Saccharomyces cerevisiae S288C: one gene and its partners. Changing the gene in region 4 together with the main gene of any one other region gives a genetic interaction. Each region holds a gene or a part of one and is shown on either strand. Other genes may lie near its edges. The genes, in order: ASP3-3, EMI1, YME2 and MBA1.

The links.
Region 1: mutations in MBA1 (region 4) and ASP3-3 together harm fitness more than expected from each alone (negative genetic interaction), as found in Saccharomyces cerevisiae (2 studies listed by BioGRID).
Region 2: mutations in MBA1 (region 4) and EMI1 together harm fitness more than expected from each alone (negative genetic interaction), as found in Saccharomyces cerevisiae (2 studies listed by BioGRID).
Region 3: mutations in MBA1 (region 4) and YME2 together harm fitness more than expected from each alone (negative genetic interaction), as found in Saccharomyces cerevisiae (4 studies listed by BioGRID, with this or other methods).

Annotation. Positions count from the first base shown.
Region 1 is NC_001144.5:481,919-485,378, forward strand, and holds ASP3-3 (asparaginase ASP3-3), read right to left. Parts: upstream 1,720-3,460; coding exon 631-1,719; downstream 1-630. Other genes in the region: YLR157W-E (uncharacterized protein), read left to right, coding at 1-119; YLR157C-C (uncharacterized protein), read right to left, coding at 141-272; YLR159W (uncharacterized protein), read left to right, coding at 3,427-3,460.
Region 2 is NC_001136.10:1,470,000-1,473,196, forward strand, and holds EMI1 (Emi1p), read right to left. Parts: upstream 1,065-3,197; coding exon 501-1,064; downstream 1-500. Other genes in the region: SDH7 (Sdh7p), read left to right, coding at 18-419; dithiol glutaredoxin GRX2, read left to right, coding at 1,018-1,449; YDR514C (uncharacterized protein), read right to left, coding at 1,549-3,000. UniProt on the Saccharomyces cerevisiae protein: Involved in sporulation. Required for the full activation of the early meiotic inducer IME1.
Region 3 is NC_001145.3:869,372-874,202, reverse strand, and holds YME2 (Yme2p), read left to right. Parts: upstream 1-1,577; coding exon 1,578-4,130; downstream 4,131-4,831. Other genes in the region: alcohol dehydrogenase ADH2, read left to right, coding at 1-912; ATP-binding cassette Fe/S cluster precursor transporter ATM1, read left to right, coding at 4,576-4,831. UniProt on the Saccharomyces cerevisiae protein: Plays a role in maintaining the mitochondrial genome and in controlling the mtDNA escape. Involved in the regulation of mtDNA nucleotide structure and number. May have a dispensable role in early maturation of pre-rRNA.
Region 4 is NC_001134.8:598,422-601,653, forward strand, and holds MBA1 (Mba1p), read right to left. Parts: upstream 1,539-3,232; coding exon 702-1,538; downstream 1-701. Other genes in the region: YBR184W (uncharacterized protein), read left to right, coding at 1-513; PCH2 (Pch2p), read left to right, coding at 2,132-3,232. UniProt on the Saccharomyces cerevisiae protein: Mitochondrial inner membrane-associated mitoribosome receptor that spatially aligns the mitoribosome exit tunnel with the membrane insertion machinery and allows cotranslational protein membrane insertion.

The DNA of each region.
Region 1 (3,460 bases), on a different chromosome or scaffold from region 4:
TCCGTTCGCAACCGTGCTCTCTGTTTTCATCACTATATGCACGCTCTTTCCAAAGCTCCTGCACTTTGCACGTGGCGGAGCCATCGCCCGGCTTCCATATGTACGGCTGCCACACCTAACTATTTCGGTTGCGGCCATATCTACCAGAAAGCACCGTTTCCCGTCCGATCAACTGTAGTTAAGCTGGTAAGAGCCTGACCGAGTAGTGTAGTGGGTGACCATACGCGAAACTCAGGTGCTGCAGTTGTTTTTTTTTTCGCGCACGAATACATCACGCAGCCTCGCCTTGACACTGCTCAAGGGATAAGGGGAAGGAGCTGAGATAGAACTGAGTTGGAGCGTTGCAGCGGCACGAGCAGTGAAAAGAGCGAAGAGAAGAGAAGCAGATAAAAGACCAAAGTAGCGATGATACTTCGATGTTTGGAGCGATTTTTCCTATGTGAATATTAGAAATCATATGTTTTGTATCAGCTGAACAGTGAATGATGTGCTCAATACTCAAATTCATCTTTTTGTTTGCTAAAAATAGCTTAACTGGCACATCATGAAAAGGATGTAGAAATTATAGAGTATATTTACTACTAAGAACTATATAAAAACACAGTGTGATGAAAAGTCACTGATCAGGCTTTAACCACCGTAGACGCCAGAAAAAACAGACCTAATCTGATCCATGCCGTAGCCGGAGTACAAACATAATTGTAGCAAAATACGCGATTTTTGAGGGTTTAGGTAGCCAGATCCAATGGCGTACTCTGGGGCATCATCTGGAGGAACTGTACCATCTGCTGTTCTTCTGCTGTGAACAATTGGTATACCATACTCTTCATAAAGTTGTTCGTTTACAATACTACCCGTAGCAGTCCAGGAACCAGCTCCAGAACCCGCCAACACGATACCTTTTGCGCCCAGGTCCTTGACGGCCTTTACTATTAGCTCAGGATTCAAGCCTTGATAGGAGTACAGAATAATGACTTCTGGAATTTCCGAAGGGTCTGTGAGGTTGGAAATGTCAAAAAATTGCCATCCATTTGGCTTGACTGGTGGGTAGTAAAACTCCACGTCATCATTTGAAAAGTAACCTAAATATCCCTGTTCATCCGCTCTGAATGTATCTAAAGAGTTGGCATTCATTTTCGTTGTCCAAAACCCAGAGGCAATACGATCGTTTAGAGTGATCATCGTGCCACGACCCAGTGATTTCTCAGAAGCAGCAATAGACACTGCTTGATATAAATTCATTGGGCCATCAGCAGACGTGGCAGTGGCTGGACGCATAGCGCCTGCGATACATACTGGCTTCTCTGAATTTATGGTCAAATCTAAGAAGAAAGCTGTCTCCTCCATAGTGTCGGTCCCATGAGTGACAACCGCACCAGCGTAGTCATCAGAGGCTAGTGCCTCGGAGATACCGTGATACAATGGGATCAGATGCGTATAGTTTAAAGAATTTGAACCAACGTTAGACACTTGAAGATAGTCCAGATTTGCCTTCTCAGCTAAAGATGGGACGGCTTCTATTAAATCATTTACGGTTAATCCCACGCTATAACCCGCCGTTGTTGCACTTGTCGAACCCTTGGAAGCGATAGTACCGCCGGTACCAAAAATTTTGATTGATGGCAAAGAAGAATTCTTCTCTTCACGAATTTTTAGTAGTGGAGCACCACTGGACATTGCGACAAAGAGAGAAAGTAAAAGGGTATTTAAAGATCTCATAGTTGGAGGTTGGTGAGTACCAGATTGCTTACAAAAGAATAGCGAGCCAACATTTGCTCTGCCTCAGGCCTCTTGGTGCTGCTTGAAGACTCATCTTATATGGCTTTTGTATGTCATGATTTGTTCTTGTACATTATGTGTTGATATTAAACAAATTGATTTTTTTTTTTTTGCGATAGCAAGCAGATAATGAAAGAGACAAGGACTTGGAACATCCGATAAGACTGCGCCGATATCGATCTTACAGTCCTTCCCTTGTGTCATGACTTTCGGAAAAGCATCCTCGTCGACTGGTAGTTTGCTGTCTGTCACGTGCTGAAGGGTCTGATACATTTTTTTAAAGATAAGAGACGGGGTTTACCCTTCGGAGGACTAAGCGAGATCTCCAAGTAAAGATCTCGCTTATCAAGAAAGCAGCCAAGTGTGGAACGTCCTTTTTTTTGGTTTCAAAAAGATATTCAACAGTTTACACTGCAGCTTTAATTGCCTCAAAAGGATATCATGAGGTGATCTAGGGTCAGAAGGGAAAGATTACAGCATCTTGAGTTGAATCACATCTGCAAAAGGTGGTATTATTGACGTTGCTCTTCCTTAATGGAAACTCATGGGGTTTGGAAAGGAGGTGCGGTAATCTATTTTTTTCGAACACAAAACCTAACCTTGAAAAGAAACTGTCCAATTTCATTGAACTTACCTCAGAACGGGCCGGAGTCTTTGCTTTCAGTCTAACATGGTCTAATTTCTTCGAAAAGCTTCATTTAATTGTTAGACTGTGGTTTTACAAGGAAAAAACCAGTGCTATACTGAAGCGATACCCAGAACTAATTACCTTGTGTGACGATTCGGCTCAGCGAAACGGACATGGTAAAATTGGGAATTTGAAAGCAGGCAGCAGCCTTGTACAGCGACATGACGATAGGTTTAGAATCCCCATCACGTACGAGTTGAAGAATTCTACGAAGGCTCTATGCGTTATTCCTCTATCGGTATAAAGTGTAGCGTTGTAGGGGGGATATTGGTGGTTTAGTTGAATTTGCGCAACGAAATTATAGAACTCATAAAAGTTCAATTCAATACTTGAAACCCTTAACGTTGGTTCGACCATCAATTGTTTGGACATAATAGTTTTATTCTGCGGCCGATTTCAAAATTTAGTAAATCAAATGTTGAAGCATCACCAGTAGGATGACCACTCCCATGACAAAACTCCGTCCCAAAGATAGCTTGATCATCCTAAGCGGGTCGCATTTTACTATCCCCAGTTCCGAAGAATAACAAGGCTCAATGCATATGCTGTTTATCGTGCTCACAAGGCGGTATGACGTTTTTAGCAATGTAATTATATTAAAAAGATCTTCAGTCACTATGAGTGGTTGATTGCCCCATAGAGAGCTATAAGCCGACGTGAAAGCTGCTGGTTCCAGCTTGGCTCATGTCGTCACCAGTCACTAGTCACTTGGTCGCATTCATTGCTACTCATCTGCGAGTGAGCATATTTGAGATCTGACTTGCCAAGGGATTAGAATCACGTAAGACTCTTGATCCTTAGAAGATATTTCTGACAAAGAACCACCTAAGCCATGCAAGTTTTTTTTTTCATTTGGTGGCGAAACAAAGGTGATGAAAGTTTCTTCTTGTACAAACGCCAAGCCCGATAGGTGAGACAATTCTTGAAGTAATGGACCTCTGAGTAAGCATATCAGTCGAATGAAGTTCCAATATGCGTTGGCCAAGGAACAGC
Region 2 (3,197 bases), on a different chromosome or scaffold from region 4:
TCCCGTCTTCATTCACCATGAACAACAAGCTCATATATCGTTCGGTTAGATTTGCAACCCATAACAGCCAGCTTTTACTTCCACCTTTGGTTCTCTACAGAAGGATACTAAGGCAGCATAAGCTGCTACCTGGTCCCCAAAGGGAGATGGGTGACCAATACGTGCGAAACGAGTTCAAGTTGCACAAAGATATCGATAACCCGTTGCATATAGTCGGCTTTTTAGCTTCCTGGCAAGATTATCTCCACATGATTTCCAACGGTAAATGGAAAGATGCCACTTTATCTTCGGAAACCCTGGAGAAACTATCCCCTGAGCAAACAGTTCAACTGTATGAATTGATGAAGGAAACACAGAAACTTCACCAAGACAATGAAATAGAATCAAGTAAGGACGTGAAGCGGAACAACAAGGATTAGTGTTCGTCTTTTTATTGCGCTTGTAAATAAGAAATCCATATACTATATAGTACACATGCTAAAAAAAAAAAGCTAAAAATCTCACTTATTTGCAGTGGTCTCCCTCTCCTGCCATATAACCCCACTGGTATTTTCCAATGCCTTATTGTTGGAAACCTGATCTTTATACCATTCCTGCACTTTCACAGGGTCATTGCCGTGGATAATACAAAACTTGAATTTGGACACCTGCTTGTCACATGATGTAAAATCTCCATATCTGTAATAGCTTCTAAATTGCCCTCCAATCGAATAGCAACTCGTCAGTTGATCAAATGCCTCTCGGCAACTCATCGTTGTCGGATATTTTGTACTCATCCTTTCCTGTTTCTTCCTCAAGCTGCTCTCTTTTACCCTAATAGAACCATCGCCTCCCTCTTGATTTATGCTAATACCACATCCAATAGCAGAACTATTACTAAGATCCGATATTTCGGCCCCCTTCGCAAAGGGGCCCGCCGCACTTTCTTCATGAATTTTCATATAAAAAGTCCCAGGACGCCAAGAAAAGGTGCCCTCTTGATTAACGGACACTCCAACTACTGTTATATATTGTTTCATGGAGACCAATTTTTCCTTCGACTCGAATTTAATTGTTATTATCATTATCACGTTGTTTGCCACAAGAATTATTGCTAAAAGATTTTTATCTACTCCAAAAATGGTATCCCAGGAAACAGTTGCTCACGTAAAGGATCTGATTGGCCAAAAGGAAGTGTTTGTTGCAGCAAAGACATACTGCCCTTACTGTAAAGCTACTTTGTCTACCCTCTTCCAAGAATTGAACGTTCCCAAATCCAAGGCCCTTGTGTTGGAATTAGATGAAATGAGCAATGGCTCAGAGATTCAAGACGCTTTAGAAGAAATCTCGGGCCAAAAAACTGTACCTAACGTATACATCAATGGCAAGCACATTGGTGGTAACAGCGATTTGGAAACTTTGAAGAAAAATGGCAAGTTAGCTGAAATATTGAAGCCGGTATTTCAATAGTTTAAATTACGCTAATATCCCCTTCATAATATTTACATATATATATCTTTTATTATCTATATCTTAAATCACATATACCTACAAAACTTCTAGCTAGATTCACACAAGAGTACTTTTGAAGGCTGCGCGTGCATTTTGAAACCAATGAGACCCGCTAAATTCCGTCTGAGGTACAAGATCCCTCGGCTTCTTTCTTCCCTTATCATCAACTTTCGGTTTGCTATTATTGGCATTCATCACACTTAGCACGTACGACATTGGCAAAATTTTGGGTTCGTCCGCCTCACGCTTAAACCATTCTCTTATCCTATATCCCATTGTTTCTAAATCATCTGCCCCAATTTGCTTTCTAAAGTTATAATCTCCTAACTTCAGCATCAGGAGCAACGTGTAATATGCATCATTGCCTGCGTTATGTAAGAAGGCATGTGGCAAGTGAAAAAGCCTTAGTAGTTTACCTAAACTGCTACCCTTCTTGCCATAACACATGCTATAAATTTTCTCTGTGTCAAGCATCTTAACATGTTTTCTAACACCTTTGCTCTCCGTTGAGTCCTCCGGTTTGGTAAGTTCATTATCCAATTCAGGTACATGGACCCCAATTTTCTTCAGCCACTTAATATCCCCCGCTATAGCATGACCCACAAACGCTCTTTCCCAGGTTGTATCTTGGTCCGTCTCACATTTCATATAGAAATTAATCAACGACTGAATGAACTCTACACATTGTTCCAATGGTAATACAAGACTTTCTCCAAGTAAAAAGCAGTCTTTAAAGTCGCATACGAATTTCTTGTTTCTTAACGGTAACGCTTCAGCAACAATTAAATGATAACTTCTTATAATCGGCATCAAGGAATAAATGTTTTCTCTTGGATCATATATGGCGATGCCAATCTCTGTAACAATGTCTGTATCAAATTCAAATGCCTCTACATCGATGGCAAAACAAATTGTCTTGTTGGATGATAATAACTCAATAGTTTTACAGAGATACTTGAACTGAGACCCACCAGGTTCACAATTCATCACAGGTATATGTTCGTTTTTTACGTCCTGTACATCTGCTAAATATTGCTTTCTTAGATTTTTCTCCACATCGTCTTTAGATGCATCAGGTATACACCCGTTTTTCTCTATCCATTTCTTGTCAATTTCTTCCAGCTTCTTATCCAGTAATTCTGAACTTTTCTCATAGATGGACCGATAGTTTGTTTCCAATGCCTTTAAATATTTTTGGATTTCACTACTTAACGCAATGTTAGGGGTATATGCAATTTCGTGCAGAGAATTAAAATGTTCAAACTCATTTATCCATGTCTTTTGTCTTCCTAGTTTATTCATCAACTTGCTACTTGAACTCTTATACAGTCCCACGCCCCCTCTTCTTGAAGGGACCATACCCCTAACTCTAGCTGCATTGCGGGTTGCCAGACTCCTGTTTAAACCTTGTGGTTGATGGTAATTGCGGACTGCTTTGGAGTTGAATCTATGCGTAACCATTTTGACTACCGCTTCGTATGCTTTCTTGCACTTTGTGGAGCTACTCATACAATAGCTTATAATCTGTGTAGTCAAACTATATACTAGGCAAATTACTAGTAAATGCAGTATTCATATGTCCTCAAACCGTTTTTTGCAGTATGTTATTGATCCATCGAATCAAAATTTTTCACCGCCAAGAGAAAAAAGATCTTACTATTTTGTGCTTATGAAAAAATTAGTAAAAGTAAAGCTGGAAGCACATA
Region 3 (4,831 bases), on a different chromosome or scaffold from region 4:
ACCGATTTGCACGCTTGGCATGGTGACTGGCCATTGCCAACTAAGTTACCATTAGTTGGTGGTCACGAAGGTGCCGGTGTCGTTGTCGGCATGGGTGAAAACGTTAAGGGCTGGAAGATCGGTGACTACGCCGGTATCAAATGGTTGAACGGTTCTTGTATGGCCTGTGAATACTGTGAATTGGGTAACGAATCCAACTGTCCTCACGCTGACTTGTCTGGTTACACCCACGACGGTTCTTTCCAAGAATACGCTACCGCTGACGCTGTTCAAGCCGCTCACATTCCTCAAGGTACTGACTTGGCTGAAGTCGCGCCAATCTTGTGTGCTGGTATCACCGTATACAAGGCTTTGAAGTCTGCCAACTTGAGAGCAGGCCACTGGGCGGCCATTTCTGGTGCTGCTGGTGGTCTAGGTTCTTTGGCTGTTCAATATGCTAAGGCGATGGGTTACAGAGTCTTAGGTATTGATGGTGGTCCAGGAAAGGAAGAATTGTTTACCTCGCTCGGTGGTGAAGTATTCATCGACTTCACCAAAGAGAAGGACATTGTTAGCGCAGTCGTTAAGGCTACCAACGGCGGTGCCCACGGTATCATCAATGTTTCCGTTTCCGAAGCCGCTATCGAAGCTTCTACCAGATACTGTAGGGCGAACGGTACTGTTGTCTTGGTTGGTTTGCCAGCCGGTGCAAAGTGCTCCTCTGATGTCTTCAACCACGTTGTCAAGTCTATCTCCATTGTCGGCTCTTACGTGGGGAACAGAGCTGATACCAGAGAAGCCTTAGATTTCTTTGCCAGAGGTCTAGTCAAGTCTCCAATAAAGGTAGTTGGCTTATCCAGTTTACCAGAAATTTACGAAAAGATGGAGAAGGGCCAAATTGCTGGTAGATACGTTGTTGACACTTCTAAATAAGCGGATCTCTTATGTCTTTACGATTTATAGTTTTCATTATCAAGTATGCCTATATTAGTATATAGCATCTTTAGATGACAGTGTTCGAAGTTTCACGAATAAAAGATAATATTCTACTTTTTGCTCCCACCGCGTTTGCTAGCACGAGTGAACACCATCCCTCGCCTGTGAGTTGTACCCATTCCTCTAAACTGTAGACATGGTAGCTTCAGCAGTGTTCGTTATGTACGGCATCCTCCAACAAACAGTCGGTTATAGTTTGTCCTGCTCCTCTGAATCGTCTCCCTCGATATTTCTCATTTTCCTTCGCATGCCAGCATTGAAATGATCGAAGTTCAATGATGAAACGGTAATTCTTCTGTCATTTACTCATCTCATCTCATCAAGTTATATAATTCTATACGGATGTAATTTTTCACTTTTCGTCTTGACGTCCACCCTATAATTTCAATTATTGAACCCTCACAAATGATGCACTGCAATGTACACACCCTCATATAGTTTCTCAGGGCTTGATCAGGGTTCCGTAGATGGGAATTTGAGAAGTATAAGGGAGATAACGGTAATGTTATATTGAGAAAATGAAAGATGAACTCAGTATTGACAGGATCTAAAACCAAAATATAGCGGGCCTATACAGGAAGTAGTATTTGTAAAAGTAAACCATGTTGCTAGTACGAACGACTTCCCTGAATGTGTCAAGGATGCCAGTGCCATGCCTCGCCAGAGGAATAGGCATCCTCAAGGGCAAATATAGACTAGCGAACCTGATGAATGCCCAACCCTCAGTGAGACATGTGTCGAGCGAGATCCAGCAAAAGGATCAGCAGGCAGGAGAGTCAAACACCGCCACCGATACTGGTGTTATTCACAAATCAGATGAAGAAACTCTGATATATTTCGATAATGTTTACGCTAGAACCACCTCGGTTTGGAATCCAACACTGTGGTACAATCTCCTGCTAAGAAACCAGTCACGGGATGCAGTGAGGGAGAAAATAAGGAATTTAGCCAGTCCACCCAATAACCCCATTTATGGACTGGAGTTGAAGTCTACCATTCCAGTGAAAAGGGATGGTGGTGTATTTGCCACATTTGTCGTTCCACCCAAGTATACAAAAGCTCAGGTAAATTCTCTAATCCAACAGAATACAGCCAGAGAATCCTCTAAAAACTTACTCTCGTACTTCACTCGAGCTTCTGCCTTCCCAGTAAAGGGTTCGCCTTGGATTGAGGATTTAAGAAGACTACCAAGTACCACTATAGTCATCAAGTTCCAAGGGCCCGCCTTAACAGAAGAAGAAATATACTCTTTATTCAGAAGATATGGGACAATTATTGATATTTTCCCTCCCACTGCTGCTAACAACAATGTGGCAAAGGTAAGATACCGTTCATTCCGTGGTGCCATTTCTGCCAAGAATTGTGTTTCCGGTATCGAAATTCATAATACCGTCTTACACATACAATACGAAAATATCAGAAGAGGCCATCTAGTTAGTAATTTTTTCACCAACCATACAAGGATTGCTATTCCAGTTTTATTTGCGCTACTTTCAATCTTTGCTGTTTTAGTGTTTGATCCTATAAGAGAATTTTCGATTGAACAGAAGATCACTCACAAATATTCTTTATCGTGGGACAATAAGTTTTGGAAACAACTGAAAACGCTAACCTCATCTACCATGACTTCTATCAAGTACTACTGGGGCGGCCCTGATGATAATCACCAAAGAAAGCATTTATGGGAGGAAAGAATAGAGAAAGTGAATGACCTGAAAATGTGGCTTGAAGAAAATAATAATACTTTTGTGGTTATAAGGGGGCCTAGAGGTTCAGGGAAACATGATTTGGTCATGCAACACACTTTGCAAAATAGAGCAAATGTTTTGTATTTGGATTGTGATAAATTGATTAAGTCCAGAACAGATCCTATGTTTTTAAAAAATGCCGCTAGTCAATTGGGTTATTTCCCAATATTCCCATGGATTGACTCTGTCACAGGTGTCCTTGATTTAACAGTGCAAGGATTAACAGGGCAAAAAACTGGGTTGTCTGAGACGAAGGAATCTCGGTTTAGAAACATGTTAACTACCTCATTGATGTCCATTAGACGTATTGCTCTCAAGAATTACAAGGCTTTTGTTTCCACCGGTGATGGGACAGTTAATGTTAAGGAAGAAGATTACCTACAGCAACATCCGGAAGCTAAACCCGTTATCGTCATAGATAGGTTTGAGGGCAAGTCGGAAATAAATGGATTTGTGTATAAGGAACTATCCGATTGGGCAGCTATGCTAGTTCAAATGAATATTGCTCATGTGATTTTCTTAACGGAAACCGTTGCATCCAACCAAAGATTGAGCGAATCACTACCCAATCAAGTCTTCAAAAACCTAATCCTATCAGATGCCTCAAAAGAGAATTCGAGGAACTATGTATTATCCCAATTGGAGGATTACTTATATTACAATAAAAAATCCAAGGGTGAAAACGTAAAAGAACCTGAATCAGAAAAGGAAACTGCTGAAAATAATGATTCTGATAGTGAGGCCGATACGAGTGTCAAAAAAGCTGAGGTTATTTTAAATGAAAAGGAATTACAGGAAATTGACGCTTCTTTAGAGCCATTGGGTGGTAGGATGTTAGACTTACAGGCATTTGTAAGAAGGGTAAAGTCAGGAGAAGAGCCCTCGGAAGCAGTAGACAAAATGATTGAACAGGCTTCTGAGCAAATAACTCAAATGTTTTTAAGTGACAAGATTGACAGCAATAAAAGTGCACAAGCCTGGGAATTAATCGAATTATTGAGTGCGAACCCAGTCATTCCATTCCATGAAATCGTTAACAAGCCATTATTCAAAGCCGCACCAGAAACGGGAATCATGGAATTGGAGAATAATGGTTTAATAACTGTATCTAGAGATAGGGGTGTTTTACAGGAAATCAGGCCTGCCAAACCGCTATACAGGGCAGCATTCACATACTTGATCAACGATCCTGAACTCGCAAAAGTGCTAAAAACCCGTTACTTATTAAAGGTTGTGGGTTTTGAAACTGGTAGAATCAAGAAATGGGAAGAAGAATTAAAACCTTTGGGGAAAGTTCCTGATCAGAAACTTTTCAAGACCAGATTGGACTATTTATCCGGTAAAATCAATGCCAGTAATGCAGTCATTACCAAATGTGAAGAAGAAATTAAAAACCTATCTAAGTGATGAAACAAAACTTACTATTCTGCTTTTCTGTACATATGTGTAAACCCTATATTGCTATACTCATCTATATTCTTTTGAAAATGTATAAAAGTGACGATTGGAGATGGTGCAATTTTCTACGCAGCATGAAAAATATCTAAGGAAGGTAAGGTACATACCAAGTAAGTCTTATAATATGTTGTTGTACCTCACTTTACCATTCTTAAAGTCTTTAAAAGAAATTACCTTACCCAATTTGCACAGCAAAGGTCACTGACCTATACGTGCCCTTCATCAGATTACATCACGTGAAATTTCACTGGGAAAGAGCGCGAGGGCTTTCCGATGACTTTCTACATTAATAATCGCAAACAAAGCAATCAGCACAGCAAAGAGTACAATTTCGAAAATTGCGACAGAGCAACGTAAGTATATCGTTGTTGATAGATTCCACTCCAACCTGCAAATGCTGCTTCTTCCAAGATGTCCTGTAATTGGGCGAATTGTAAGATCAAAATTTAGATCTGGTCTAATCCGGAACCATTCGCCCGTTATATTTACTGTGTCTAAGTTATCAACCCAGCGGCCTCTGTTATTCAATTCAGCTGTGAATTTATGGAATCAAGCACAAAAGGATATTACGCACAAAAAATCCGTCGAGCAATTCTCGTCGGCTCCAAAAGTGAAGACTCAGGTAAAAAAGACCAGCAAGGCCCCAACCC
Region 4 (3,232 bases):
ACAATTATACTTTCAAATCATCGATATCATCCTAAGGGTTTTAGCGCTGATTACTGTTACAGTGCAAATGAATTGACATTATTTCTTTTTGTTATTCGAACAGGGCAAAAAAAAGTACTTTATCGATCTATTCCTCACAACACAGCAGCAATTGAAAAAGACAGTTCTTTTGATACAGAAAATAGAAAGAGAAGGTCCGAGGAAGAGGTTGTTCTTAAATGTAGGAAGTGTTCTAATAATTCATTGGCATTAAAAGAAATCAGCACCTATCGTTTGGATAGCGCAGAAGGTTTTGAGAAGTCTCAGCCTCTAAAAGATGAAGCAAAGCTCAGTGATATGAATTATGTACAAGGTAGTATCAGCTATAACAGGACTATTCTTACCGGCTTATGGAAATTATTTCACAGATTGTGCTGCAAAGATCGTTATAGGAAAACCAATCTGTCAGAAACATTGTTCTATGACGATTCAACGGAAAGATGGGTTAGAATGGGAGAGTTAATGCACTATTGAAAGGGAGATGCTTCAATAACTTTTTTCATGAAAAACTATTTAATAAATTTAATATATATACTTCAGAATGAAAAACAAATGAATAGTTTTTACTGAATATGTAAGTGGTATGTGGAATAAGAAACTCAAATGAAGCAATGGCTATTTACAGATGTTCCAAAACTTTTCGCATTTATATACATATTGCCTTAGCTTGGAGGTAAACGATATATATCACCGTTAACTTTCATTCTGTGTATGGCAACTTTAGCATCGTCCTCGTAGCTTTTCGGTAATTTATCATTTGGTTTACTTTCAAACAAAGATCCCATTAAAATCATATCATTAGTTGTAGCATCACACAAAAAGGCAATATAGTCTACAACGTCACGGTCTAACGTCTCAGTCTTCTTAGTTTGCTGATTGACTTTAATTAGTCTTTGCTTCGTATCAAATTTGTAAACCAACTGTAAATGCTCTAACGGCATTCCGGGAATCATGATTGGTTGCACTGAGACTAGTTTAGGAACTGCATTAAACTTTATCAACTGCCAGTCCAGTGTTGCATTACCTGGAAGTTGACGGGACCTAGCCTCGAGAGCTTCCTGAACCCATAATGAAACTAACCCTTTGATGTCCGACAAATTTTTATGAGCAAATGACGTGTTTACATTGATATACGTCTCTATGGCTTTGTTTTTCCAGAGTAAAAAAGAAGGTTTAATGCCTGATTGAAAACGAAACAATGCGACTTGAACAGAGTTCAAACCAAACGTGTAAAGTCTTCTGATCAATGCATTTGCAACAATGAGAGGATGAGCAAATACATTTGGAAGGTTCTTGTAAGCCGAGGGGATAAATATTTCGGCAGCAACACCCAGGTGCCGAGGATTAAAATCTTGCTGCTTACTTTTATCTTTCTTCTTTGTAGTTTCACTTTCTTTATTCAAAATTAACCTCGAAGTTGAAAATAATCGCCGCTTGTTAAATGATATCAACAAGGATCTTGGAGGGAAGAAAAGGCATGTAGATCTTAATACACTCATCTCATAAGCTTAGCTGAATGGATAGGCTTGCTTTCTGATGGAAATTTGCCTTGCTTTTCCAACTATTCCATTACTCAGGTTTTATTTTTTTATTTTGTAATATGGGGAGAAGGCCGGCAGAATATTTACGGACAAATGAATAAATTGGATTGGATTGACTAGTGGAACGTGTAAAGATCGCGATACTCCGTACCAATCACCGAAAGATTGCCCGTAACCGAAATGACTCCATTCTCTGAATTTTTTGTGAAACCAATATCTGAGACTCTTCCTTCATCTTATCAACGTATTGTTCAGTCAATTAAGTAAGAAGTATATTTGAGCGCAGCCTTAATCATATATAGCACCAGTTATATGTTTGCCCCTCTCTTGAGTTGAAAAACACATAATACATAGTACTGTACTTTTCTCTTTTTCATCGTTGGCGAAAATATAATCTTTCTCAAAAATATATATATATGTATATATATCCTTAGATTTGCCGTTGACAATAAGGTGGGCGGCAAATCTACGAAATGCGAGGCGGTTAAAAGAGAGTGACAACATTTTCATAAAAATATTCTGATCTCAAACTGAAGACATAAAATAAGGATATGAGCTACATAGTTGACCTACAAGTGCGAGGATCATCTCTGAGGGTTATCAAATGTATGTTTAGAGAGGATGAGCAAATTTCTTCTCTACATTCTGGTTCTGACTCGAAACAAAACAGCAACAAAAAGCTGGGAGAATTTTTGAATCTGTTAAAAGCAGTGGTCAAGAGGAAGTTGGAAAGTTTCCCAAAAGACCGTTTAAAGACTTCGATTATAACTGGCCAAGAATTAATGAGAGAGGGGCAAGGAAGTATTGAAATTAAGGATCCACCAACGGAGGCGCAACAACATTTGATTAGAAGCCTAGCAAAAGTTTTATTACACCAGTTTTCAAGCATAAATGGCAAAGTTAACACAGTAAATGAAGGACAAGATAATTTGTTTCTATCCTTATTCGTTAAAAAAATTTCTATAGAGCAACAGTCCACATCACACGTCTCTATTAAATTGAACTTTCATGAGAAAATAAATTTGGGTCAGCACATAGATTCTATTTTAGATTCAGAGGAGACCAACGAGTCGGACACTTATCACATGGGATCTGTTGACGAGTTCATTATATATCCCTTTTGCTGTCTGGAAGAGCAAGATGAGCTGAAAAATGGCAGCATACTGTCCACAGAGTTCGACAAGATTGACTTAGAACTAGACGAGGATGATGGTTTTGAGGGAGAAACTTTAAACAATTGTATCAATTCGGTGGGAAATTTTGACATTCCACTAAGTAAGCAAACACTAAACTTAGTAAATATATCATATCTTCCAGGCACAACTTTCGAGGGCCAATGGGAATCGTTGTATTTTGGTAACAATATTAAAGAAAGGTTATATAGCTACGCAACTATATCTCTCAAGATAGCAAGATTCAAACAAACTGGAGACTCCAATCAAGAAGACATTACAACGCTAATCACAAATAATAAATTACTCCTTGTCCATGGTCCTCCGGGAACAGGTAAAACAACGTTATGCAAAGCACTTTGCCAAAAATTATCTGTGAGGCGGGAATTTTCAGACGGTTCCGATACCATTGATACTAATTATAAGGGGATAATAATAGAATTGTCTTGTGCACGCATCTTTTCTAAATGGTTTGGAGAA